Linked DNA regions of Neodiprion lecontei. The protein of the gene in region 1 binds, or shares a complex with, the protein of each later gene. Links are inferred from orthologs where the notes say so. Each region holds a gene or a part of one and is shown on either strand. Other genes may lie near its edges.

Region 1 (4,945 bases):
TACTCCATTCATTTCCTTGTACATCAAAGCCTTCAGCACTATGATTCTTCTGTGTGTCTACAGTAGTAGCTTGATTTTGGTTCTCAAGATTGGTGCTAGTTATTTTCTTCTGTTTTTTTTTATTTCTTTTTTGGCGTTTACTCAACTTTTCTGAACATCCTTCTTCCTGGGCTTCAGTAATGCTATCTTTCACTGCACAATCACTGTTCAATAACTCAGCTTTCTGATTTTGCTGCAACAAATCGATTGCCGCTTGACCAATATCAGAATCAGGGTTCGCTTTCTTGGATTTCTTTTTCCATTTCTTACATTGCTTATATTTCGAACACAGGTCTTCTACCGCAACAGAATTAGACTTGGCCTCTAGCAGAGTATCACCAGGAGTTGAATTGATAGCTTTGTTCTTTATGTCTGAACTTTTTGACATATCAGTTATCTTTGCAGCCATTTCTGTTTCGTTTCCAGTTACATTAAGTTTTTTTTTCTTAGCTGATTTTGGTTTAACTTGACCAGTAGTACTAGAATTTTTGATCTCATCACTACTAGCTTGAATGTTACTCTGCTTTTTGTTTTTTATTTTCACTGGAATTGCAAGAACTTGATCTTTAAAAGAGTTATCATTTAAGCCCTGTACCTCAACAGCCTTCTGATTTTTATTGTTTTTGCTGCCTTTGATATCGTGTAATTTGTCAATTTTATTTTTCTTGGATTGTAACTCTGGAACGTTGTCAAATGCTGCCCATTCATGATTCACATTCCCAAATGTATCATAATATAATCGGTTATCCTTCTCTGCAAGTAACTCAGTAGCAGTTTTTGGCTTTTTCGTGACAGCTTTGGATGCAGTTTGACTGTCTTCAAGCTGCATTTTCATTATACTCCATGGTGTAGCCTCATCAGGAACACGTTCATTGGATGCTTTGGAGCCCTTGGCTCTGGTAAATCTAGTCATGTTGGATAATCTTCAAGCAAAGAAACAACACAGCCGAAGGGTACCTGAAATTACATATAATTCATATCAACTTGTAACGACATAACCAATTTTTAAATAATAGTCGTCAAGGTAGAAAAATCGAAACGAAATAGCACGCTACTTCAATCCTGTTACACATTATTCGAGGTTAAACAAGCAGTCTGCTCGGAATATTAGAAATGAAATGCAACTGTAAAGTGCTGGAATTTAATAAAGTATCATTAAAGATAACATTGGCGATGAATTAACAATTTTATTCCGACATGTGTATCCATATTTAAAAACATTTTCCGCATTACCTGCGGCGCAATTGACAACGTATTAATCCACGTGGTCGGTAGTTTTCGGAGCACAGAACCCCTAACAGAACTTATCGGGAACGCCAACTGTTGGCTGGACGACAGACAGCGACATCGATCTCCCGCTGCTTACCCAGACTCGAAAAAACCCGGGAATGTATAATTCCGATTGCGTATATACCTAACCTGAAAATTGCTGTCAGCGATGAAAATCCGTGCAGAATGAGGCTATGGAAGGGCTACCCTACAATCTGATAGAGCGAGTGAAACTCAAAATTGGTATCCTGTTATCAGTAGCTTTTGAGTAGCTTATGCTCATCTAGCATTGATCTTTTCCTTTACTTCGAGATACAGTTGTTTGTGAACTGCAGCCTTATAGCATATACTACTCAAGGTAGCCTCGCGTGTACTGAAAGTATAGTGAGAGAGTGAGATAGTTTATCAATGCCATGTACTACCTATCTCCCTCGCTTCACAACCTGGTTGGCCAATGCGTTTCCTCTCAGCCAATCAAATGCAGAGTGAGAGAAACGGAGTATCCAGGGTAACACGTGGATATATGTCGCGCTCTCTCATCGCCACGGCCATAGTATTTGCGAGTTTGACGGCATGGGTAGCTAACTCCAGTAGTATATGGTCTAAGACTGCAGCAATCACGGTAGCACTGGCTGCATAATTACGGAAGTCGACCAATGTCAGACCTGTTCTCAACGAACTAACCAATAACGTTACTTTTTACTTTTACCCACCGTTATGCTACCGTGACGGCCGATGATTTTAAGTTGGTAATAATCCTAAATCTGTATATCTGGCACCATTTTCTTCACAAATCAACCGACAACCGCAAACGCCGGTGAAGATTGTAGAATCTGCACGAAAAAGAGACGCGGATACATATTAAAATTTGTGAATTATCGGCAAAAACGATATGGAAACAATAGAAGAAAACCCACACAACGTGCTAGGCAGCATATTGAATGAAGAAGAACTTACACATATTCCAAAGGGTGTCAGCGAAAAGTTGAAATCGTATTTCGATGAACGGTTCGAAGAATTTATCACTGCTAAAGCTGTTTTTGAGACTGCCAGAAAAAATCTCGGTAAGATTAGCGTTACTTTTCTGCCTCCGATATTTACCGTTTCAAAACTCCCTTCAAACTGTTCACTGATGTCTGTTTAACCATCCAATTTTGCTTTCTTCATCTGCCAGAACAAAAATTAGAGACTCTACAAAAGGATTACAATGAGCAGAAACTGGATTTGGAAGAATGTAAAGGCAAACTGGAACTGGCCAACAAATATACAAATGAACTTCAAACCAAAGTTGATGAAACTAGGTCTGAAGCAACAAGATTACAAGAATCACTTAGAAGGTACAAATATCTTTAGTGTGCTTCTTCCTAGCTCTAGGTTTACATTTCAAGAAATGTACGATCAGGCAATTCATTTCTTAAATTCCAGGTAGTACATATATGTGCATATGTTGTTTTTTCTGTGAAAGAAAATGGCTATAACGAGTTGCCTAACAAATTAATTGACTTCGAATTCCTTTGAAACAATAGATATTTCGCATCTAAATTTTAGTATTCTGTTACTGATCCATTTTATATAGATTAGAAAAGGATAACGGAGAGCTGAGACGTCAACGGGATGTAGCCACAGATGAAAGAGATGCATTACAACTACAGGTTGAACGTCGAGATGCAGAACTTGAGCGTACACATGCCGAGCTGCAAATGCTCAGTACTCAGCTGCAGACAGCGGTGACTGCCAAATGTCAGGCTCTGGCTGACACTGAAGAGATCCGCAGTCGCGAGATGTCTTTAGATTACAAGTCAGTAGATATTGTATTTGTTAACTCAAGTTATCCATAGGTTTCAAGTATTCTAACAGAGAAATATAAATCCTTGTTGGAAATTTGTAAATACATTTATTCACAGGGAACAGCGTCTGGAGAAAGAGCGAACCCTTTTATCTCAACAGATGGCCAATTTAGAAGAAGAGCTATCAAGGCGCACTGGAGAACTGCAAAATGTTCGTACTGAATCGTCCAAGAGATCACTGTTGACAGAAACCCAACTTTCACAGCGTGAGGAAGAACTGCGAATAGCTAATGATGAGATTAGTAAACTCCGCGAAGGAAATTCCCTCATCATCAAACGCTGTGATGAAATGGCACAAAAATTAGAAGAACAAAGAGCTCATGAGCTTTCAATGCATGCTTCTTATCGTGAGGAAGTTAACGCTCAAACTAGACTAGCTGATCTTTATAAGGGAATGGCAGATGAAGCTAATGCCAAGGCTGAAGAATTTAGTTCAGCTGTTAAAGAACTACAATCCCTGCTTGAACAAGCCACAGAGCAGTACGGTGTGCTTGAAACACAGCACAATGATCTACAAATACGAATTGATGAAGAGGTCGCTGAAAAGTCACAAAAAATCGAGGAGCTTGTAAAAGAGCTGGAACGAGCGAATGATTTACTGAAGGACGCCAAACAAGGTATAGTTTTAAAGTTGGATATCTAATTTCGATCAAATTTAAGGCTAGATGTGAAAACAATTGCGTTTAGATCATACTTTTGAATACTTTTTCTTGATCAGCTTAATCCATGAAAGTTGCTCGATGAATTACCAGACATCCATATGATATATTAAAGGTAAGCATGCTAAGAACGTTTTGACTTAATTATTTACTATGTGCTCCATAGAAATGTTAGACCACGCAGTGGAGCAACTGGCTCCAACAGCAGCAGTAGCAAGTAGGCTGTTGAAAAAAGGCTCCAGCCTGACCCAAATTTATACCCAATTGGTTGATGCTACCAACGAACTGGCAATTGAGAAAGAAGAAAATGAGCGATTAAAGTCACAAATGAATATAATACTCCGTGAACTTGAAGATAAGGCACCGGTACTGCAACAACAGCGTGACGATTACGAAGCCGCAGTTGCCAATGTTACAATGCTCACTTCGCGTCTTGATGACCTTCTTGCTGAAAATCATCGTTTGCAAGAATCTGCAGATGAGGCTTCGCGCATTGCTAACCACCATGTTCGGGAAAATAAACGGCTAAAGACAGAGCTTGCGGATCTTGCTAGACAGGTATTTCTATATATTTTAATTTAGATTTCTTCATTTACATTTGTTATGTCTCAAACACTACTCAGTACAAAAAAAAAAAAAAATTATCATGTGACAAATATCTCATAGGAATACCTGTACAGTCGTATGATCATGTTAGTAGAGTTATTTTTCATCATTCCAGGTCTGTTTCCTTCTTAAAGAAGTCCAGGAGAGTCGTGGAGGTTCGACAGTCCTCTCTTCCACAATAATGGAGTCTGACGACCTAGCATCTTCTCAAATTATCAGCAAAAAGTTGGTTACCTTTAGAGATATTGAAGAATTACAGGAAAACAATCAAAAATTGTTATCAATTGTCAGAACATTATCTGCAAGACAAGAAGAAATTGAAAAGGCAACTGATGAAATTAATTCTGGGGAGATGAAAGAAAAACTTGATAGGTACATTACTTTCACAGCAAGTCAATGATGTATTACACCCCACTGTGTAATTTGACGTAAGGAACCCATTTAATGGTATACGAAAGTAAATATTGTCTCATTTCAGGTATGTAGAACAACTATCTGACATGCAAGCGGCGCAGGACCGACAAT
Region 2 (7,184 bases), on another chromosome or scaffold:
ATATTCTTAGTACTTTCAGCATTTAGAAATCGACAGAGAAATAAGTTTGATTTACTGCAAAATGACAGGAACTCTGTTGGCATTACATAAGAATGATTTTAAATGAGGAGAAGTGAGGCAACTGTTTTTATACCTTATTTCAAGAAAATCTTGTTGGTCTAAGCGTCTTCTGACCAAATATTGTCCTATGAGTCCCAGATCCACTTTTCGTTGCCTCAGCAGAACACAGTCTGCTTCCAAAGTTGCTGCCAGAGACTGCAGAGTGGCTACAGATGCATCGTACTCATCCTCTTTCAGACCATTCTCAGAACCATCTACTCGGAAAAACAGTATATAGTTCAGAGAAAGAAGAGATGTTTTTCGGGGCGCACTAACAATGTTTCTAGTATTCTTACTACCGACAACCATATTTTCTTTTTAAAAATGGCCTGAGAGTATTTATGAAGACCTCTATGAAAGTAAAGGAAGCAGTAAACAGAAATTTTCTAAGACGCACCTTCCCCAACACCGATGTCAAATATCGTCTCACTTCCGCCATCCTGAATTCTTTCTCTTAGTCGTCTCAGTAGCAATTCGTACTGATCCTCTGTTGGACTAACAAGGACATCCTGCAAGTTTGAGCAAAATTAACTCTGTACGACATCAAGATATCTTGAATTTGAACATTTTCTTTATACAAGGTAAAATACCTTTCCCCTGATGCTAGCATAGTCCATTGCAGAAGTAGGAAAACTTTCCTTTGCCAGTATGGGCATTGTTGAAGTAGTCGATGTTGCCGACGTCATATTGGATGTCAGTAACTCTGACGAGTTTGGTGCTTATTAATTTTTATTATTCTTAATTTATTGTGAAACACGTTTTTCTTTGATTAAACACTTTTTCAATTCCCAACAGCAGTAGAATTTCCTAATATGCGAACGCCTATGCCAAATATTTTCCAATATTTAAATCCAAAGAGCCTTCGGTAAAAAACCATTGAGGGCACACTCATTACTATCTTAACAGGAATCGCTAAATGATGAAAGAGCTCTGTAAGTTGTCATCCCCACTGGAGTTTGCGTCAGATATACTTTTCAATTTAATTTGAAATTTCAATTGTTATGTCTGTAATGAAACACAAAAATGTCGGTGAAAATTTTTTTTACTTATATCAGTGATCAATTTGATATGGTTGATTGTTTTTATTATTATTCGAATTCTTTACGAGTATCGTGTTATGATGTAAACATTTCTTTCAAGTATAGTTAGCATTGTGTGTGATGTCATTACACCACTTCCTACAGTACAATACGTGACCGATAAGAAAGGTGATATCTTGTGGAATGAATATTTGAAACGTCAGTGAAAAGTTACATCATGTAGTTTTTATACCTGCATTTTTATGGCAGAGTTTGGTCCACTCGTTGGTCTCCACACACATTAAAATACTACTTACGGAATTTGTTAATCGAGAACACTAGGAAATAAATTGATATCGAAAATATGTACATCAGGTATTGTGGTCATTGTAAAATTTTTATTATTGAATGAGACTACTACCATCACTGATATAACATGTTGCAAACCAGTAATCAAAGTTATTAATTTTCGTGAAATGTCTAAACTTACATCAACATTATTTCACATATTCATATCTATGCCTATTTCTATAAATAAACATATTGTAGGGCTGCCAATGATCACCTATTCATGAAATACAAAACGGTGTAAAAATAAACAAGTGTTCACCTGTCATTATTATATGTTGTTAAAATTTTGTAATACATAAGCTTCTCTATAACGAAAAAGTAAACACTCACAAGAATTATCGAAAGTTAACAGAAAGTTGGCAGAATTATTTCATGTTGTCGGATTGGAGGCTGTCACTGCACATGAAGTTTGTTGCTAGGTACACATCAGGTGATTACACAAATTTGCAGCATGTCGTGCAACTACTTAAAAAGTCTTCGTTCACGGAGCCACGATGGCGCCACATTGCAGTTTTTTAACCAATGATGTCACTTTCCCGATCGGCCACCTTGCGCCGGAAAAATGAAACCATATATCTGGTATAAATTACGTATTAAATAATTCAAATTCAAAAAAAAATAAGTAAGTAATTAATACTTCGCTGAATATAGTTGCAGAAAACTTTCGTTTGAGTTAAACGTGTTTTTTACGTAAGAGCAAACTTCAGAGCTTCATACGGTTACTTCGTACATCTAACCAAAATAACCTTGTATAGTACAGCTTCACGTACTAGTTGCTTTTTGTGAATTTACATTAATTTTGGATTAATTATGATGCGGTTGACCTCAGCCAAGCTACTGAATACACATCCACACAACATAACGGTGCATGAGGATATACAGACAGGGAATGGTATCATTTTTAACATTTCTTTAATTAAAATTCGATGAAATAATGTTACAAAACTATATCTTACAAATGAACTAAAATACTGGAACATCCAGGGAGAGTACCTATTTCGCACGTGCATTTATTGAGGCTTATCTCAAAAATGGCAGTGATTGAGCTCTCAGCTGTATAGACGGCAAATATCCGATATTGTTTTCCTTTGACCTTTGTTTAAAGAGTCAAATACCTGCTTTCAACAAATGAATATCTGACTACTCAGACCGAATTTAATGATAAAATTTATTTAGAACCGAGTTTTCGACATAAGTTGTCAGGTTTCATTTTCGATTTGTCGTTACGAATATATATCAATGATCCCCTAAGCAGCCTTCTATATTCAACGCTCGTGCCAAGTTTCTTGCCGCTGCTAGTCGGAAAAGGTCGATTTTGTCTTGAAATTTCGGATCGTTGCCGTGTTCTTCAACAGTTTGTAGTAGTTCGAAAGTATCCTTAGATGAGAGTACAGCATCCTCTGCTTCCAGAAGCGGAATTGCATCCGTTAGAAGAATCGACCAGAAGCTGAAACGATTTGCAAATTTATTAATCACATAAACACTTTTCCGTTAGGGGGATTAGAAATTAGTCAAGTTGAGTCACTTACTATTTCGGAGTTAAATTAGAGACCAGTAACGAGACCAGCAAGGCAGCAGCATCTTTAAATTCACCTAGTCCATACGTTTGATGAAATTCACAATACTTTCCTGAAACAGGACGAAATTTTGATATTTGGCTTTCGATGTAGTTTTCGAAAACTTTGATAGACAATCAACTGTTGTACAGTACTATACAAACCAAGAAACGTAAGTCTGTCGCTGATCAGCATACAGCTTCCTAAATTCTCTAGAAGGTCTTGACACTCGAGTTCTCCGTGTTTGGCATAGTTTTTTAGAAATTGGTCCGCTATAAAAGTAGCAAACGCACCATCTTGTGCCTTTAATGCCCAGGCAAGTGCATTTCCTAGCCGTCCTTGTCTAATACACTTCATTCCTTGTATTTTGGAAACGCTGGTTACTAAAATTATATCATGAAAGATTATTCAATTTATTGAGGTCTGAAATAATGCGAAAATTGCGAGTTTATTTTCTTTATACGTACCAACATTGGTCATATGCTTTTGACGAGCAATCTCGATAATTTTATTCACTCGTGCTTCACTACCCAGTGGAATGGACTCTAACAATGCCTGCAATCTAGTTAATCCTTGAGCAGGACAGTGTTCAAAGTAGCTAGCGCCACACTGCCACAGTGAATGATGACCCATCAAAGTACTGGCATAGTCTAATATCAATGATTCATGAAGCTGTGAGGTAACACTGAAAAAACGTAATTTTATTTTACCATTGGATTTCACGTACCTTGTATGAAAATCACCAAATACAAGTATCCTGGAAAATAAATGTAATCCCATAAGAAATCAAGTCAAACTTACTTTATTTGATGCTTGTCTATGATGTCTAGCCTTCCACAGTTGTACAACAAGTTGATCAGATGTGCTGCAAACCATCCATTGTCGCTCATATGCTGAATTTCCTTGATTACTTGATGCAAATCACTTTCCATTAGAGCTAAGATTACATGATCCAAATACCTGCCTGCACGCCACTTTTCTGCAATATGATTTGCATGTCTAGCAAGTTCTGGCTGTTTGCTACAGGGCGCAGAGTAAAATAAACGTGCAGCCAATAACTCATACCATGCTTCCGTGTATTTTGAAAACTCCCAAAGAACAAGTTCTTCGCCAACGATAAGCTGTTGATAAAAAAAAACACAAAAATAAAAACTAATGTTCTTATCTGTGCTTCCAGCCGGAGACAAATTGAAATCTCACCCTCATTAGTAACTCTAAATTTCGGTCTGTAGAAAATGTTTTGCTTTCAATTTGCGAAGAGAGGTCAAATTGCCAATGCTTCCATCTCATGTTAAATTCGTTTACAGAATATCCCCCATATACATTGTAAACAGGCATTGTCCTTATAGCATTTTCAGCAGTGCCAAAAGCAGGATTATCTGCCTTGCTGTGCATAGCTAACAATGAACGAACGGTATCGAGTTTACCGTGCAAAGCGCATCCTATCGCTGCTTCCCAGTACTGTACATTATCCAAATCGGCAGCAAGACTTTTCTTTGCAAGTATTTTAGAGGCCATTAATTCTCTAGATGGAAAGTGAAATCTCACCCACTCCAACAGCTGTGGAAGTATCACATCTCCTACAAAGAAATTAGGGCATGTATGTAGTTATGTCATAAATATTAATTGGAAAATAAAAAAAGTTTGAATTAATTTTGACTGCGCTATTAGCAATACCTGGGACGACATTAACATAAAGGATCTCTGTCAGGTGCCAAACACACTCGACATTGTAAAAAATAGTCAAGTAATTTTCAAAAGTCGGTTTTTTGTCTGGCGTTGACTTTTCAACAACATCTTGCAGATTTTCTACACAGGCTCTTAATATGGACCTGTAGTGTTTGCTGTACTTCAAAAGCTCAGGTCTAAGGTCTTCAGTGGAATTTTTAATCTTCTGTATCGCAAGAAACACTCCATTGCTCTCATTGACTAGTTTGCGAAGCGCCGGCTCGAACAAAATCACTTCTTGTCGTAAGCAATGAACTTTAACCTCACAGGGTGCAAGACTGCTTGGAACATCTGCAAACGAGCCGATGGAAATATTAATTAGCATTTTCACTATAGACAAAAAATAAACCGTATACATCTGAGTCATCGATGTTGCAGAAAACAGTTTCTGTGCGGTACCCGCTAAAAAACGTAACCTCACCTTTCGAGTGTGCATTAATATGCTTGTACGCGTGAACTCCGATTTTATTTTGGCCGATCCAGGTCGCAGCCAGGCCTGCTCTTCTGCAAACGTCGTCTGGTATAGCCTGTAAGTAATATATTTGACAAAATAGCAATATATATCAGGATTGTTCCGTGAACAAAACCCGGTGTAAGTCCGCATGGGCCAATAAGTATATTGAGGTGCTTACAATTATTTGAGCGTTGCTGACTTCTGCCATGACTGAACGTGAGCTTTAGTTCACCGGTTGTTTTTGAATTTAGTACATAAATTCATCAACGAAATCGGTAACCTAATTGTTACTCACGATCATCTTTTCACAACTCAAAACGAATTTTAACGTTCAAAGCAGGAAGGTAACCATTCCGGTTTCACTGACATCTATGATTTATCGGACAAATTGAAAGTTTATAACTGTTTTACCGACGGATGACATAAGGCCTTGAATGAGTGTATCGCATCTGATTTAAATAAGATGACAAGAACGCAATAAAGTTCGTCAACAACAGTAACAATGGTTTGTAGTTTGTCAGTTTTGCGATAGTATCGAGTATAATAGCCGAGTATCGCAATTGGTGCGTTCTTATCAGTCAGTATAGAGTTTCGTAAGAGCCGTGATAGCTCTTTACGTAACGGTAATTCTAATACAATCAGAACTCTGAGCCGGCTCGGTATCAGCTCATTCGCTCTTTGCATGCCCGTGCGCTAGCGACTGACTGATATACTGGAAAATGGCTACCACCTCAGCTGTAACACGACTTCTGTTCGGCCGCCGATTGCCACAAGTTGTTAGAAATTTACCCCAGCTTACATCAACCAAGTTTTATTCATGTGAGTAACTAAATCGTCGATTATCAGACATTTGATAACATTCCTAACCCTTACAGTTATAGACCTATAATTGAATGCTGTGAAGTGAGTTGATTATTTGTGGGGACGTGGAACGATAATAATTCATAAGATTTTCACTCACGCTGTCGAAAAAAAAAAGATTAAACCACTAATCATTGTCAGACATTTCTTACTGGTCCAAACTTTAAGATGTGTAGTAATTGCTAACTAATTTCTTATTCTGAAGACGTTCAAACTAACAATAAGCATCAGGCTGTGTGCATATGATCTGCACATGTTTACGCGATTTAATCAATTGATTCGTCGTAGTTATAAAATCTTTACAATCGTAGAAATAGTGCTGCAAGTAGCAGTTACACTGAATATTGCTTAATCTGTCTTATGCAGGTTTCTACCCGGCATTTAAAAGTTCTTTCAAAGTTCGGAATTCACTCTAAACGAATAAAGCAATATTATGGAAGCCATATTCCAATCATGACTCGTCTTATTCTTGTTCATGTGTATGCAATACGTATGTCACCTTGTTAATTTCAATATTATGCCTTGTCAGGTCAATTAAGATAACCAATGTGGTAAGACTGCGTGATTTACAATGTAGTATAAAATTTGACAAAGCCGCAGTAGAAATCCTTATGGAGTTGTAAAGATACATCTGATTCTGTATTATCTATTGATTTTCAAGTGTACAAGTCACATTATTTCTAACATTGACCGAAGTTTCCAATCATAGCTTCAACCAACTCGAAAGATTAGTCGGAAACAACGATTCTGATTAGAATTGACCAATCACATTACAACCGGCCCTGAACCTCTGAATCTACTCGAAACTCGCTTACGAGGTGTAATGAACTCTGTGAAAAGATAACAAAACATTAACTATAATACACGGGTGTAATCAAAAGCTGGTTGAAAGATTCATGCCCTTGCAGTTAGCCGACGAGGGAGCGAGTTTATGAGAGACATTGCGATCGTTTAAACTAATTGCTTTTATTGTTAGCGAGCTCGGGTCGCCGCGCGCAGTCGAAAATTTGGCTGCAGCCGCTGCAGCGTCGGTGCGTGCAGAGTGCGACTTTATCGAGCGATCGCCGCGCGACCTTTCGAGCTCCTGGTTGAAGGCTGCGATCGTAGTAGAGCTGC
Region 3 (7,725 bases), on another chromosome or scaffold:
AAAATCAGAATTTTGAACACAGTTCAATCTTCAATCAATGTAAATGAGTTGCGTCGGTAAGTTTGACATACTTGATTACGAGTGTACAGCATAACGTTGGCAGCAATTTGTATTGCGCACGAATGTTGTTGGGTAGCTTCCATTTGTTGATGTAGAGGTACGACGGGAGGCAGTTGTGGCTGAAATCTGGAGACCATGGAGAGCATCAAACGTTGGAGCCTATAAAGATGGGCTCGCAATTCTCTCATGCCTGTACTATCTTCAGATTTGTGTTCGTTAGAGTTGGCTCTGGCCAATTCCTCGTCAACAAGTTTATACATGTCTGAAAAAGAAGAGAATTAAATATTTGCATAGAATAAAATAGAAATAAAATCATGAAAAAATCAATTGAATGAGAGATGCCTACCAATGTTGGCAGACCTTGCGATGACCCCGGTGAGACTGGCGACTTCTTTGAGGAACAGAACATTAGAATGAGGTGATGCATTCCGTAAAACCATTTCAACGGTATCTCGATGACTCTGTAAAAATCCGCAAACTTGTATGGCACAAGACTGATTTTCCGTTCCAAGGGTAGTCAGCAAAGCATCGCACAAATAAAGTGCAGGTAAAAAGATTTGCTGATACCGCTGACCTATGGAAGGCACAAAGGATATATCTCCACCTTCAAAGCCCACATTTACGTCAGGATGCTGATCGAAAACACACATGCTTGATAAGCAAGATAGGACTTTATTTTCCAGAAGACATTCGGCACCCAGTCTGGTCGACGCCATTCTGCAGAGCGTTGCCATTTTTGATTCGTATAAATACAGGGGCCGCAGAGTGAGTGGATCTGGTTGAAGCATTGTTCGCAATAAATTGTCAGAATCCAGAAGACTGTCTACCATGTGTTTAAGGTACCCTCTGCTAGCCAGATATGTGACCCACGTATTGCTGCAATCGAATTCTAAAATTTTGTCGAGGCACGATAATGACAGCATTTTACAGACGTCGTGTCCACCGGAACAATCGTGGGACAATATATCCATCAACTTGTTACCGTAACTACTGATCACTTGTATCGTCGCATATCGATGCGAACGCTCCTGTAGCGGCGTACTTCTATAATACGAACTATCTAACTGACTAACATACATGGAATCCATGTTGGTCACAACTTCCGATCTTTCCAAACTGACTACACAGAGGAAATTGAGAAGTGCCCCATAAAGATGGGTTCGAACTTTTTGTGAGGATACACCAGAATTTAAGATCCATTGAAGAATATGACTAAGGATAATCTTCATCATTGTTGTATTTGCAGCGGAAGACGGTAGCAGCTCATCGTCAGATTGCATGGAGAAGCTATTACGAAGGTTTACTAGTAGTACGAGCACGGTTCCAGATACAAGTGTTTTGATTTCGTTCAAAGCTTCGCAAGACGTCATCTTCTGCAGTAAATCATGTGACAAATTTAGCAGAAGATTTTGCCTCTGAGCAGCGGGAAGTTGCTGGTTCGTTGCGACAGAGAATAAAATTTCAGTTGTTTGACACCAGCCCTCGACGAACTTCACAGTAGCGTAAGAAAGGGTTTTCGTTTGATTTCGTTTCAAGGCGTATGCAAGGATAGATTGCAGCTCCTGTTGCACAAGCTTACGCTGAGTCGCAGTTGCGCTAGTTTGCGTACCAGCCAATTCTTCTGTTATAAGATTGTGAAGTTTTCTGATATCTATAAGCTGGGGACTTCCACCAAGTGGAACTGGAATGCTGCAGCGTCCCAACACCATTTCAATTTGAGACGGATCAAAGTATTCCCAGGACTTTGGAGGATCTAGATTTAACTGGAAATCGATATAGTGAAGTAGATCCATCAGGAGTTTTTGGGATGGCACAATTTGATCTCTGTCATGGATTAGATTGCCGACTAGTCTTTGAATCAGGGAGTTCTGAAGGCTGCCACCAGCGACGCGCAATTCAATTGCCGATATTTTTAGCAGCCAGGACATGCAGGCAAGCTCAGTCGCTCTGTTCGCTCCCTGGAATGGCAGCTTGGAAAGATGACGTTGTACGAAATCTTGATTGGTGGCTGTCCGAAGGAACCGAAGTACGGAAACAGAGGTTTTGTTATTTGAAGCCAGTATGTGAAGGAACCAGTAGCAAGCCTCTGTAATCTTGTCACGGCCACGCTCCAACGATAATTCCAATATCCCGAGTATAGAGTGCAGACAAGTCCTCGGAAAGCCTAGTATTCCAGGTTGTTGAATTGCAGTTTTTCTTATGTCCTTAGTGATGTCGAATCCAAGTAGGTAATGAGCTATGTTAGGCGCAGGGCGTGTTATGCTCTGCATCAAGAGGGACAAAATCCTGCCCTTGCAATTACCGCTTCGTTTTTCATTCCCAATTTCTTCCTCAGACTCAAAGTTTTCGTCAGAATCCAGACACTCTACGAAACCATGCCTGATCGTCGTTGCCAACGAAGGAGTAGACGTGAATGTAGAAAGTAACTCTGAATCTGCTCCAGGTTCGTTGGCGACGCCTTGAACAATGCCAACTGACACAAAGGCGTGTTGAGTGAGCCATGAGTTGTAGGATATGTATTTAACGATGTTAATCATGTGGTCTGGTTTTCCCGTGCGAGGATTTACACCTAGCAAAAGGCGGGATAGCCCTGTTAAAATTCTGTTGGTTGAGCTGGCTGCAGCCAATTGAACCATGTAATGATATTGGGCTGCCAATCCATGCTCCAATATCTGCAAACAGTGCAAAGTGCTGCTTTCGAGGCTTGTTTTACCAGGAAAATCGTCGTAAGTATCCAAAAGATGGCATCCTTCGTCAAGTATGAGCAGAATGACGTGTAGAAACTCGGAATTTGAGTGTAGCAACGTTATCAAATGGTGTCCAGGAGGAGGATTGACGACAGTCGATTCACCGCCTTGTAGTTCTATTTTACATCCGATAAAGTCTTCGATAGTTGGCTCATACTGTGTTATCAATTTAATGAATATTTTCAGACAGGCATCGGACACGTCCCACTTTTCCCCAGGATTTTTATACGACCGTGTGTTGAACCGCAAAAATACGGAATTTATTATGAAATGTAAGTACGGATCGAAGCCTGGATTTCTTAGGCCAACACCCAGAAGTCGAGGTATCGGAAAATCAGTAAGGACATCTAGAAGCTCCAACATTGCTCTGGTCAAAGGAAATTCCTCGTTTCTAGATTCAATTTCTTCTAATTCCGTTTGAATTCCTCTCGGTTGGTAGCTGCTGGTCGTTGGTACGGTACTCAGTATTTGCGCAGCTTCCAAACTTTGCCATATGGTAGATGAACTCTCCGGAGATTTTGCCAGAGCTGCGAGCGTTCTGACTAACGCACCTTTTAATGGAATCGGCATAGCACAGCCCACCAAACCAATAATAGAAGGCAAGACGTTCCAGCCTGGATGCTCGCATATCGCTATTCGAGAAACTTCATCGTAGTAAGCAACAACCCGAACGACTAGAAGCACAGCTTCCAAGCCTTTGACCTCGTGAGGTGTGATACCTTTGGGATGATTTCTTTGACGGTATACCGTGTCTTGTGAAGGTGGGAGTTCTTGTCGCAAATTAAAATAGTAGCGACTCAAGGAGTTGAAGAAATGATCCCAGGAAATGGTCGTTGCCCCCGAAGGTCCTGAAAAAATTAAATGCAGTAATAACACAAGATTACCTCTTATTAATAGACTTTCAAATCAAGTTATCAAGCCGTACAGCTTACCATTAAGTTTCAGAAAGTTGAATGCTTGCCTAGCCGCTGGTAGGGAAGAAGCAAGTGATGCTAGCATTCTTAGGTAGGGTCCAAATAGCCCGCTGGGCAATACTTCTCCGGCGACTCTGACAAATTTGAACAGAGCAACTTGCCTTGGAGGTAATCGGCTCGCATGCAAAGTGCTCGGCATATGAGAGGAGTCGGAATGTTGACACCAATAATCCATTGCAAGGTTCAAATTGAGGGGATCCTTTTTGTACAGTTCAGCGACAGACAGCATGAGGTACTCAAAATGGTTGTCAAGGTTCATGGGAGGTTCGATGCCTTCTTGTTGATAGGCTTGAACGATACGCATTGATTCGTCGGCTCTATTTCTCAACTCTTTCACCTTCAAAGGCATGAGTAGTATAAAATCAGAGATGAGTGTGTGAATGTAACGAACATAGAATTCCTCATTGTGGATGTGAGAGCTTTGAAGTAGAACTTCAGCCAAAAAATGAAAAGCCTTGTTTGCCAGAGCAGCTTCCACCAAAATTTCATCCTCTTCGGTGATATTTTGTGTAGGACACAGATTGGGTGCAGATTTTATAGTTGCTATGGCAATAGCTAGCGCAAACTGAATCAAACCACGAAGTCCGGCACTTTCCCAATTTACATTACCAGAAGTTAGCTCGGTTACGAGCTGTGGCAACATGTCAGGATCGTCAATAAGCGGCATTGCTTTAACAATTGCTGAAATTTGAAAAAAAAAAGAAAGTAAATCATCGTTCGACAGTCAAGGAATAATATGCAATTATCTGGATAAGGCTACTTATTATCGTAGACATACTTTCACCGTCCTCTCTGGTGTGAAGTGAGCTGAGATTTATAGAATTGAGCAAAGCCATAATCAATGCCAACGTGACTTTATCAGGGCCACCAGTCCCATCCTCAGCCTCCGGATGACGATTGTGAAGTAACGACAAAAGTCTGTGAGTGATGTGACTGGGCAAAGCTGACTGAGCTGACCAAAGGTATAAAATATCGGCAAGATCCTGCCTGGCACCGTTATAAAGACGCATGACCATGTGATGATGCTTGGCTCCTCCTAAGCCTCTGTTTTGCTGCAACAGTTCTTGTTCCTAAAAGAAGAATCTACTTATAATAGCGCCAAGTTAAATCTTGTGCTATTACCAAATACAAATTTTTTACCTTCGTCGGATCCATATCCTCCAAAAGGTTCAGGATCCTGTCCAGCAGGCCGTCTTCCTGCATTTTGTTGGTATACTCCGTAATTTGCTTGGTAAGCGTAACGGGTGTGTCGAGAACCCAAGTATGACCATTTCTGGCTTGAACCAAAGTCCTCAATGTTGAGGTGAGAGCTTTCTTCCCGTCATAGTACAGAAGGACAGCAGTTAGGCCTCGTGTCAATCCAGGATGATGCGGCATTTGAAGTTGAGCAGTACAGAGTAAGTCAAGAGCCATAAATTCATTTAGTTCGTACATGTCGGATAATATAATTGTCTCGTCAACCAATTCTTTGGACAAAACCTGGTGACCTAGTCCAGGCAGAGTTATACCCTCCGTCACTGCATTTTTAATTTCCTCACGACTCTTTGCATTCTTTGCCTAGAATGAGGATATGATAAACTTAGCACATGGCAATCAAGGTCTCCAAGTCGCAGCTACTACATGTTGAAATATTATGCTTACAGGATTGCTTAGGAGATTTAGAAAATTCTGTCGGTGATTGCGAAGCGCTTCCATAAATTCATGGTATTGTGGATCGTGGGAACTGGGTGCAGAGGTAATATATTGATCGACGAGACTCTGGAGTTCCTTGTAAGGAGTCCACATGTCCTCCGTACTTGTCTTTTCTGTAATAGTAAATGGTGTCGATGTGACAAAACTTAACCTAGGAAAATTCAAATTCACGCTAAAACGAATTATCAACCGAAACGTGAATTGTATCACTGAACAAGCATACAAAATATGAAGGTAAATACAACCACGTATTTTGACAGACAATTGATCATAAACGTTGTTGCATTTGTACCGGTGATGAAGTTGGGTAAAACTAGGTTATGTCACGTTACAACCGGGAGAAGAGTTCCAGTAATTAATGTAGAATAAGTTAGACGCATACGCAGACCTACCTTCAGTCATCCTTGCGCTATTTAAACTAAACTCAGAAGGTCAAATTCAACAATCACTGAAGAAAGAGACAAACACTCATTCGTGAATTGGCGGTTGGCGCTGATTTGTAAAACCGCGTGAACATGGCTGCGTTCATGATACATGGTCGCGAGCGAGCAGTGGTCGCCAACTTAAAAAAGGTAAATAATTGATCAATGCCACCCACTTAAAAAAAAAAGAACCTTCTTCATCAATGGAACTCGGTTGGGTCCAAGCGTCATTGGATTTCACCACTACGTTACTCAATCCGATCGCTAAATGCAGTTTGGATCAAATTTATAACAAAAAAATGCGCCAAACTTCAACCAAATATATATTTGTAGCGCTTTTTTGATTTATGTTGCTATTTTCGTTGGCCACTCGACGAAAAAACGTCATTACTCGATGTGTTCCGAGACTCGTCAATGCGAATAATAGGCGATAAATGCAACGATTTATCAGCTCCACGCAATCAAAAACGATGATTCGTTCGATTTTAAATTTCCAAAATGAAAAATAACGATCGACAAGCTCGTGGTTGAATATAAAATTTGATAAAAGATACCGGAAATGGCCGAGGTCTAAATTGTATTTCGAAAAATAAAGTATATACGTATGCGAAGCACGACTTCCGGAAGGACAGCTGCGATCGAAGTAAGAGCAGCAAGTTGTCCGTGAGTGTAGACAAGTGTAGCATAAAAACACAGTGAGATCGGTATCACGGAGTACGCTTTCACCTTTGTCTGCGGGAAGGAAAAATGTTTTGAACGGTCAGTACTAAAGTATATTAATCTAAGCTTGAAAGAATCTCATTTATTTGTTTTTTTTAATAACCCAAACGCCGTCCGTCGCAAAGCGTCTGGAGCGTCTGTTTTATTTTCGCGCCGTCCTCAGACGCGACGTCACTGACAACTCGGATGGGTTATGTTGGTCCACCATATCTTCGATGTTTTTATAGACTTCGGTTCTACATTTTGGAAAAAATTTTCGCCTCGCGTCGCGTTTTTGAGGTGCTCAGTTATGTTTAAACTTTTACAATTTTTTTTCGTAAAAAGACGAACTTTTTTTTAACGTTGTTGAAAACCAAAATTAACCACTTTTGTCGCGATTCTGTGTGTGCATTGTCAAAATCAGCTGCTTCATTGTTAGTTTATTACTACATTGTTCGAATCAAATCCTGCTGCATTTTCTTGACCCCCCTCAATTTTTAGAGGCAACAAGTATATCACACACTTGTGTACATATTCTCCATGTTGTTGTCTCTAGTCTGATATAGCGAAGGCTAGAATTACACACTAGGTTCAAAAGTTCTGTGATTTATATTCTTTTTTCTTACTTTTCCTTAACTTCAATAGAATACAAATTCCATTTATTAATGCTTTTTCTACCCTGAACGATATTCTATTTTCAGGAAAACCATCAACTTTCACTGTTGCCTTATGTTAAATTCAAGCATCGATGTTTTCGATAACACAGGTTCTACTACTGTACCTTTAATCGTCTCACCTTTACGCGCAACAATTACTGAATATAAAACAAATTTGCATGTTTTTATATTTCTCTTTCTGCACCGTTCTGAACAGATTCGTTTGGTTTTTTTTATTCAACGATTAATTAAGTCACAAAGTAGACAAACTTGTTCTAATGATCACCGTTCATTTTCAGGGTTTACAAGTCGAACATATTGGAAAAAAATAGAAGCAGCACTGTTAAAGAATAAAAAAATAAAAAATAAAAAAAAAGAACAAAAAAAAAACGAAAAGAGAAACTTGAAATTATCCTGAGAAATTTTAGAAAAATGGAGTAAAAGAAAGACTGGATATGAGATTAAATAACTTAGG
Region 4 (7,970 bases), on another chromosome or scaffold:
TACATTCAGTATATAAGCCCAAATTGCAGCTAAACCGTCGGGTCCGATTTACCTGGGATAAAAGCTAATAAATCAATATAATTTGACAGTTTCATTACATTTCTTTGAATACTGCACTCAGTGTTCAGCCCTAGGTATGACTTCGACCTGCTTTTGCAATAATTTTTAATTTTAATGCTATTGGCGAACAGAACACACTTTTTTTCACCCAGTTTAAATATATTTGAGAAAATAGGGTGAAGGAAAAAAAATTTGATTGGTCCTAGGTGGGGAAAATTGTATTCAAAGAATTCAGAACAGATTGGACATATTTTGAAACTTCTGTTATATCATCATCATAAAAGATCTATTTGTTCAATATTCTTAGGTTTCAGTAAGGGAAATATTAAATAAATAATAAAATCGGCACATTGTATCACAATTTTCTTTTTATTATTTTTCTGTTCAAGTGCTACGTCTTATAAAGTGGCTTGCCTTCTTCCAATGTCAAACGTGAAATATTCGATATGCCGTCTTTCATCTGTAAACAAAAAGACCATATTTGATTAAATTTCACACCGTAAATTTACCAGCACGGTGAAAACACATACTTGCCTTGACTCGAGCATATAATACAATTCCAATCAACGTCAGAGTAATTCCGATAGCCTGATTCAGTGCAAGTGATTCGTGGAATATAATAGCGCCACCAAGTAAAAGAAGGCAAAATTTTGAATGTCCAACCATATTATAACTGGAAAACTTTATGTAAGAACATATTGAGAATTGCTGTGCGCATGGCAAATAAATTGGGTAGATAATAATTTTTCATCGAATTAAAAAATTTCATTTAAAATAACAATTCCTTGTTTGAATAAGGATACGTTAATGGTGATGTGTATCCTATTATCCAGTACGATGTTAAGTTCACAAAAAATGCTACGACGCTCGATAGCAGCACCATCAGCTGTGGAAATAAAAAAATTATCCCTTTAGTTAGCAAATGTTTAAACTTTAGTATTGAAAAGTAGTCAAAGTGTCTTTCAACTTACAATATCTGTAAATGTCCAGCTATGCTGGAGGGTGTTACCAATGGGTTCCAGAAATGGTACGATCACAAACAGCATTGCTGCAGATAACGGTGCTTGATAATAAAGGAGCTGCATAGGATCCATTTGGAATTCCTTTTGCTTTCTGCTGACCCACTGGAAAAAATGTGCAAAACCATGAGCTTCAAGTATGAAACAGGTTACGGAATTCATCATAAAGCAGTGAGAGTTATCCTACTTACAACTTGATACAGAGATGTAACAATAACACCTAGAGTAGCGTAAATAGTCCCAAGAATATTAAACCTAATGTCGTAATAAAAGTTGATGACAACTCCAGCTATGATGGGTATTAATGTTAGTTTAACAAGCAAACCGAATTTCTTTTTATAACATATTGCCTGCATAACAACGACGCAGGGGGTTGTAAGCATTTTAGTAACTTGATAAGTGCCGATCGTGTTGTGTTCCAGACTCAGATTAGTAAGGACAACAAACCCACAGAAAGTTAGGGCGATAGGTACCATTTCTTTAATGGCAACATCTTTTATACAAAATACATCCAATTTTTCACAAATGATTAGCCCAAGAAATGTTATTGCAAAGTGTATCATGGACAGGGTGACATTTGGAAATCCAATCCTCACGTACACCATTTTATTTAACAATACAATAAGTATTGAAAAAAATATATTTAGTACTAAGCAGAGAAATGTTAATACTCTTTTGTTCATTTTCTCAGACTATTATTGAGATCTTTATGGCGCGATAAATATTCTCTGACATTTACGTCACCGGTTACAGGTTAGGTTGAGCATCTTTACTTCATCCAAGTTAGGGTTATGTATTCAATTGTATATGTTTTGTCGAACACTGCTGCCATCTACCGGGGTTTCCATGACGACGAAACTCCCCTCGAGCTGCGCGCCAATTGATCTGAAAACCCGCGCGCGGAAATTTTAGCAACTAAAAGCGTCTTTTTTGGGCATGAAGATTGGGCTAAAGGTTTTTCAAATATTATTCCTTAATATGGTTAATATCTGAAAGAAACTTATAGCAACCGACAACATGGAGTTCCCTCTTGGTTACAGGGAAGTTATACCCGATCAAACATTACCGGAGAAGTGGAAAGAAATCGTGATAAATGCTGGTGAGATAACCTAACCTCTATCACACAAACTTCCGATGAAGAATTATTTTTCGCATTCCTTGTATGAACCGATTAATAATTACGCTCGATAAGACATGTATGACATTCAAACACTCCGTTTATCTCCTATTTATACGGACACGTATTTTTCCTTTTATGTTTTACGTCCCAACAAATGTTATACCTCATTACTATTGTTGATACTCTGATGATGAGCATTATTGCATTCAATAAAAATTCGTACAGTATAACTGTCACAACCCTTAATTTTTTTTTCTGGTTCAATACTATTCAGTAACTCTTCGCTTATTACAGGCGGTAGTCAAAGTACTTTACAAGATATAAAAGTCCCTGAGAGAGCGGGCGGATACTCTTACAAAGACAGCACTAAGCATTTTACAAGAAATCGTTTCATCTACTGGCGCATATCCCACGACGTTCTTGAACTTGTCGAGCACAGTCTAGATGTGAATCTTGCCAACTGTAAAGTAAGATACAAATTTACGGACCGGCCACTCTTGGATGGAATTTCTATACATGAGACAGTTAACTCTGTTGTGATATTAGTGGTCACTGTATCCAGTGTTCACAAACTCACTTTTCCGCATCCAGATAAAATACATCGACAGGTAGGACCAATATTTTGTCACACACTTAATTTTAATCTTCTTTTTCTGATACCTTAAAATCTTCAGTTTTTTTCATTTTCATATCCTTTGCAGGAACATGTATTGGGCTCTCACTCGGACCTTAGTGTTCCATCAATCCTTAACGATGCATCGAAAAATATTGTTAATGCCAATACAGGGACAACGAGTAAGCTGACATTTGTACTTACCAATATTATAATGTTTGAAAATATTCATTTGAAATGTTTCTCTATTCTAGACACATCAGTGCCACATGCAGCAGCCTCATGGCTGACTTTACCTCAAGAAGAAGCATTGTTTGCGCTCGCATACAGCACTGGAAACATTTTATTAATCCGTCTTGATACAATGACTGGGCTTACTCATACAACTGAATTGAAACAAGATTCAATTGTTCCCCGATTTCTGTCCGGCATCGCGACTGCTTTTAGAGGCCGTAATTCTGAAGGACACGTCCCAATGTCGCTTGTCCTACATTCGTATGGTCACGAAATGTACCTTTTCGCTCTATGTCGGGAAGGAAATGTCAGGATGTGGGCCTGCAGTAAAGCCCAGTGTGTGGCAGTTGCAGATATTGCCATGGACAGCAGAGTTCCTTTGCAGGGAGTGCAAGGACACATTTTGAAAAAAACAGTTGGAGTCAATGACAACGAACTTTATTTGGGAACATTTTTAAAATTTGGAACTGGATGCGAGTTTAGCATCCTTAAACCACTGCAGGATGCTGGACTCTTCAAATTTGTCAGGATTTGTACTTTATTTGCGCCAGATGTAAGTATACAATCGTTGTTGCAAATTTCAAACTTTTTCAAGATGAAGAATTTCACGCGCCACTTGAACATCTATTGGTGAATTAGTTAGTTTTTCCAATTCATTATTGCCATTTAAACATAACACCCTAATCGTTATTGTGTAGCAACATTTGGTCGATTTTTCCTTCACACCAACTCGACTGTGGGCAGTGTGGCGAACGACAGACATGGACACAGTAGCCGTGACACATGCAAGGCTACCATTGAATGGTGCACAAGTAAACTCTGAATGGGAAACTGCAGTGCTAGTGCAACCACCAGACAGAGATTACATCGTGAGTGATCCTGGAACAGATCCAAGGCAGGCATACATTGGCTATATTTTTCATCCTGGTCAATTTCCGTTAGCGGACATAACTCGTGCCTTGAGCATTTATCGACGCTCTAACATTATAACAGACACGTCGCTGTCTCCTGCAGTTCTGAAGGAACGTGTGTGTATGGCAGTAGAAGCTCAAATTCAAGCAGAAGTAATGGATTACGAGCTTTCAGATGATGACTATTTAGAGATAGCCAATCGCTGCTGGTCCAAATTCTATTCCTGTGTAATTCAATACTACGCCAATGGTACAAAACCTGTTGGGTTGTTGTTATTACCAAATGTATATGGGGCAGTTTTGCTGAAAAAGTCAGCGTTTTCCCTGTTACGGCCAATGGAGGCGCTTGAACATTTAATGTTATGCAATGACAAATCATATGTGCAAAGATTCAGTACTACACCAGTCTTGTCCCAAGATGAAGATACTTGTCAAAATTTAATCACATTGATGTCCGCATTAGTTTTGCTCGACAATCAATTGACTGAGGATTTGAAAAGTGGAATTGAACGCGAACTATATCATTTACGCAGTCCAGACATTATTATTGAAGATTTGTTATGCAAACAAGTACTAGAGACTGAAGACCCTGTGAGTAGTTCTATTTAAGCTTTTGTAACACTACCTAAAGCCCATTTTATTTATTATCTTTACCAAGTGAAGAGAATTGAGACTTACTCTGCGAAGTTCTTAAGTATAACGTCACCTAAGCCATTTGTTTAATTCCAGTTATCCGATTACGATTTTCAATCGGAATTAAATCGTAAAATAGAGAACACCAATGACATCTCACAAGCGATGGCTATGCTGGTAGAAGCACTGACTTATGATCTTGGTCAACCAAGTAAATTGCAGCTCGATGAGGTGCAGGAAGCCTCTCGAATCCTGCTGAATGTCAGTCACTTGTTCAGCAGCCAGTTAGGAATGTCAGCCATAACTGAAAGCGTATCGCAAATTACTCAGCTCAGATTTTCAATCTGTAGAAATCTGCTGATCCTACAACAATTAGTTTTGAAGCGGCCTGAAGCATTTGATCCAAGGTCCTTACACTCCATAAATTCTTCACTGGCACCTAGAACGGTTGTTCTAACACAAGCGTATTATGCAGTTATGTGGATTTGTGAATCAACCGCCAGTTCGTCACCAACTCAAACTTTACTGTAAGTGCAAATTTTTATGTAACTAGAGATTCTAGCAGAATCTAGTCTTTTCGTTTGCTTCAAAGTCAATTTCTTCTATGCTACATCATCCAATCCATTCGTACCTAGCATTTATGAAACCATGTGTGAAATTAATATATTTCAATTTGAATTTCAGAGACACCAGTATTCAGCATCTAAGCCTTTTAAAGCTTTCAGATTCCGGAGTAAATATTGTTCAGAGACAACAGAGATCATTGTCTCTTTTAGAATTGTTTATGCATAGCGGAGGTGCAAAACATGCCCACACTTTGATGGCTCATACGATAACTGATACGTGTGGCCTTGTACCATGGCATGAAAGTATGCTAACACATGTTACTCTGATGGCTCAGTTCGTGTATCCTTTCAACAAAGAGTTTTCTGAGAAAATAACTTCTAATCACACTATGAAACATATGATACATTAATGAAATCCAATGAATCACGTTAGTTCTTTTTCCTTGACTTTTCAAAACAGTTGGCCAATATCAGGAAATTTTATTTTTCCCGAATGGCTTTTATCAAGCTGTCAGCATTTGCTTGTTCAAGAGTACGTTAGAATGTTAAGTACTTGGTGCGAATGGAACAGTGCCTCTCGCAAATTTATCATGGCAGTGTCTTTGCTTGAAATGGGTGAAACACACAAGGCCTGTGATCAATTCCTTGGAGCGTGCAACGGAATTTTGACAGACACATTTTTGGCCAGCACCTTACTAGATGCCTGTATAGTGTCTGAAAGTAGCATGCGAGTTAATTACTTCTTGAAGGTGATCCAGCTGTTTGAACATCATAATGCCGCAGATTGTATAATAGAGCTGGCAGAAACTGCAATCACAATAGCTGAAGATGACAACCCAAATTTGCCCACGCTCCATTCAATCGTATTTAGACAACATCTGAATCTCGAACATCATACAGAAGCATATCATTGGCTTAATTCTAACCCAGATCCTTCCCGAAAAGTTGACTGCTTGAGGCAACTAGTAGCAACATTATTTGAGAGGAACAAATTACTGGAATTAGTTACATTTCCTTATGTCGAGATGTACGAAGATCTGGAAAGAATTATTGAAGGCAGGGCACGGAGTATGGATCTTATGGAAAATAATTACTATAATTTTCTCTATAGCTTCCATATAAATAAGGGAAACATGCGAAAAGGTACGATTCATTAGTATCAAGTGAAAATACATTCTTGCTCCCATTTGTGCATCATTTCATTTCGTAATGTATACATATTTTTTCAGCTGCTTCAGTGATGTACGAACAAGGCATGCGACTAGGACAGGAATCCCATTCTCCTGCAATTATACTAAAACAGTCTCGATGTTTGTTGGCTTGTATCAATGCACTGCATCTTGTAAAGGAAAGATATAGATGGATTGTGCGCCCTGTGGCTGATCAAAGGCAATCGGGGGAAACTGATCCCGTAAAAAAACGGAGTATAGATGGCAGGGAAGTTTTGCATTATAAAGTGAAGAAACAAGTAGAAGTGTTAGAATTGAAAGAGATCAAAGATGAGTATTACATCGTTACAGCAAGATTAAAATTAGCCAAATTAAGTCCGGAGTTACAAACAATCGCACGTGCTGGTGAGTTTTCTTAAAAATATGTACATCGACTTTCTTTGGATATACTCAATGAATAGTCCACGGTTGAATATTTGATTAATTGTTCTTATACAATTTCATAGGGCCGTCCGAACTTGTCGCAATTTTATCCAATGTTGGTTTGTACACGACTGCTTTACACTTGTGTGACCAATTTAGTTTATCGAAAACTTCTGTACTTGAAAATCTGGCCTCACAATGCGTAACTCTGAGCTATCAAGAAGACATTGACGCTTGGGATTGGCTAATACATAACGAAATTTTTGGTAAGTTAAAATTTATTTGTTTGCTAATTTCACAATGTCTTTTTGTGTATGGAATTATACATTGAGTGTATAAGGTCGACAAATTTCAAGGAATGCATATATTTCTTACAGATAAAGGCGTATCAGATTCGAATGTCACAAATATTGCTTGGAGATTATTGGAGCATCTCACATTGAAACACGAACGGGATAATAGCAGTGAATTGCACAAAGCTGTTACGAAAAATCTACTGCATCACGGTGCCTTTCTTCCACAGTGGCTAATGTCTTCTTACAAAGTAATTTCTCTTCCGAAGTGTTTTTACTCATTGACTATTATTCTTTTCGCAGTGATAAACTGCAGAAAAAATGGACCTAACTATATTAATAGCGAATTAAGTTCATATCCTATATTTTTATTTTCAGGAACGCAATGCGGCAGAAATTCTGAGACTTATTTTAAATTCCGGTCGACTTTTAGAAGCGAATGCAATAGCTCTTGAATACATTGGTGCTGTGTTGGGTAGAGGGAAAGAGTATTTTGGTTTGACAACACCACTGGTAGCTACGTCACCTGCTGTGTGGCTTCCATTGAACACATTAGAATTGCTTCTACTAGAACTTGAACATGCTAGCAAAACAGATCCCATGTATATAGAGGTAGAAACCAATTTTGTTGGAAAATATTTACAAAAATAGTTTTTTCTACCTTCAGCGGTTTTCCGATCTTCTCCTATTATCTTAGAGTTACTTGATCACAGCTGTTGGTAGAGCTGAAGTATACTATTGTTATTGATAGTAAGCTTTTACTTTTCATTTCAGAGCTACGAAGAATTGAAAGAAACCTTAGACTACTACATCGAAACAGTTATCAGAGTTTCAGAAGATATGATACAAATGAAAATAAACAGTCGAGTTGTTTAACAGTAAGTATATTTTCGGAACATTGTAGGATAACAATGATGATCAGTAAATCA

What was found.
Region 2: nucleoprotein TPR (region 1) and nuclear pore complex protein Nup85 share a complex: the UniProt entries of both Drosophila melanogaster proteins name them as parts of the nuclear pore complex. The link is inferred for Neodiprion lecontei from reciprocal best matches to the Drosophila melanogaster genes Mgtor and Nup75.
Region 3: nucleoprotein TPR (region 1) and nuclear pore complex protein Nup205 share a complex: the UniProt entries of both Drosophila melanogaster proteins name them as parts of the nuclear pore complex. The link is inferred for Neodiprion lecontei from reciprocal best matches to the Drosophila melanogaster genes Mgtor and Nup205.
Region 4: nucleoprotein TPR (region 1) and nuclear pore complex protein Nup160 homolog share a complex: the UniProt entries of both Drosophila melanogaster proteins name them as parts of the nuclear pore complex. The link is inferred for Neodiprion lecontei from reciprocal best matches to the Drosophila melanogaster genes Mgtor and Nup160.

Annotation. Positions count from the first base shown.
Region 1 is NC_060260.1:31,011,531-31,016,475, reverse strand, and holds the start of nucleoprotein TPR, read left to right. Parts: upstream 1-1,921; 5' UTR 1,922-2,200; coding exon 2,201-2,372; intron 2,373-2,482; coding exon 2,483-2,645; intron 2,646-2,884; coding exon 2,885-3,106; intron 3,107-3,212; coding exon 3,213-3,772; intron 3,773-3,980; coding exon 3,981-4,372; intron 4,373-4,535; coding exon 4,536-4,792; intron 4,793-4,898; coding exon 4,899-4,945. Other genes in the region: uncharacterized protein LOC107221997, read right to left, coding at 1-952. UniProt on the Drosophila melanogaster protein: Component of the nuclear pore complex (NPC), a complex required for the trafficking across the nuclear envelope. Functions as a scaffolding element in the nuclear phase of the NPC.
Region 2 is NC_060264.1:6,092,385-6,099,568, reverse strand, and holds nuclear pore complex protein Nup85, read right to left. Parts: upstream 5,626-7,184; 5' UTR 5,416-5,625; coding exon 5,386-5,415; intron 5,281-5,385; coding exon 5,175-5,280; intron 5,045-5,174; coding exon 4,703-5,044; intron 4,606-4,702; coding exon 4,226-4,605; intron 4,147-4,225; coding exon 3,827-4,146; intron 3,711-3,826; coding exon 3,493-3,710; intron 3,409-3,492; coding exon 3,181-3,408; intron 3,099-3,180; coding exon 2,999-3,098; intron 2,917-2,998; coding exon 2,706-2,916; 3' UTR 2,160-2,705; intron 1,950-2,159; exon of another isoform or gene 1,729-1,949; intron 1,685-1,728; exon of another isoform or gene 1,372-1,684; intron 1,105-1,371; exon of another isoform or gene 786-1,104; coding exon of another isoform or gene 690-785; intron 609-689; downstream 1-608. Other genes in the region: GTP-binding protein 1, read right to left, coding at 134-314, 497-608, 690-785. UniProt on the Drosophila melanogaster protein: Component of the nuclear pore complex (NPC) that seems to be required for NPC assembly and maintenance. Required for nuclear import of phosphorylated Mad via importin msk.
Region 3 is NC_060261.1:2,748,784-2,756,508, reverse strand, and holds the start of nuclear pore complex protein Nup205, read right to left. Parts: upstream 6,014-7,725; 5' UTR 5,876-6,013; coding exon 5,866-5,875; intron 5,587-5,865; coding exon 5,423-5,586; intron 5,339-5,422; coding exon 4,922-5,338; intron 4,852-4,921; coding exon 4,560-4,851; intron 4,463-4,559; coding exon 3,740-4,462; intron 3,656-3,739; coding exon 407-3,655; intron 323-406; coding exon 72-322; intron 1-71. Other genes in the region: PAN2-PAN3 deadenylation complex subunit PAN3, read left to right, coding at 6,802-6,894. UniProt on the Drosophila melanogaster protein: Plays a role in the nuclear pore complex (NPC) assembly and maintenance, but with limited role in NPC permeability. Required for specific nuclear import pathways such as Mad import.
Region 4 is NC_060263.1:38,145,718-38,153,687, forward strand, and holds the start of nuclear pore complex protein Nup160 homolog, read left to right. Parts: upstream 1-1,958; 5' UTR 1,959-2,096; coding exon 2,097-2,178; intron 2,179-2,493; coding exon 2,494-2,807; intron 2,808-2,900; coding exon 2,901-2,994; intron 2,995-3,066; coding exon 3,067-3,599; intron 3,600-3,744; coding exon 3,745-4,548; intron 4,549-4,686; coding exon 4,687-5,117; intron 5,118-5,274; coding exon 5,275-5,496; intron 5,497-5,616; coding exon 5,617-6,299; intron 6,300-6,385; coding exon 6,386-6,730; intron 6,731-6,831; coding exon 6,832-7,014; intron 7,015-7,125; coding exon 7,126-7,292; intron 7,293-7,419; coding exon 7,420-7,653; intron 7,654-7,815; coding exon 7,816-7,917; 3' UTR 7,918-7,919; exon of another isoform or gene 7,920-7,970. Other genes in the region: solute carrier family 35 member E3, read right to left, coding at 452-520, 595-733, 864-946, 1,032-1,184, 1,271-1,762. UniProt on the Drosophila melanogaster protein: Functions as a component of the nuclear pore complex (NPC). Involved in poly(A)+ RNA transport. Required for nuclear import of Mad. May play a role in double strand break DNA repair. Essential for nephrocyte development.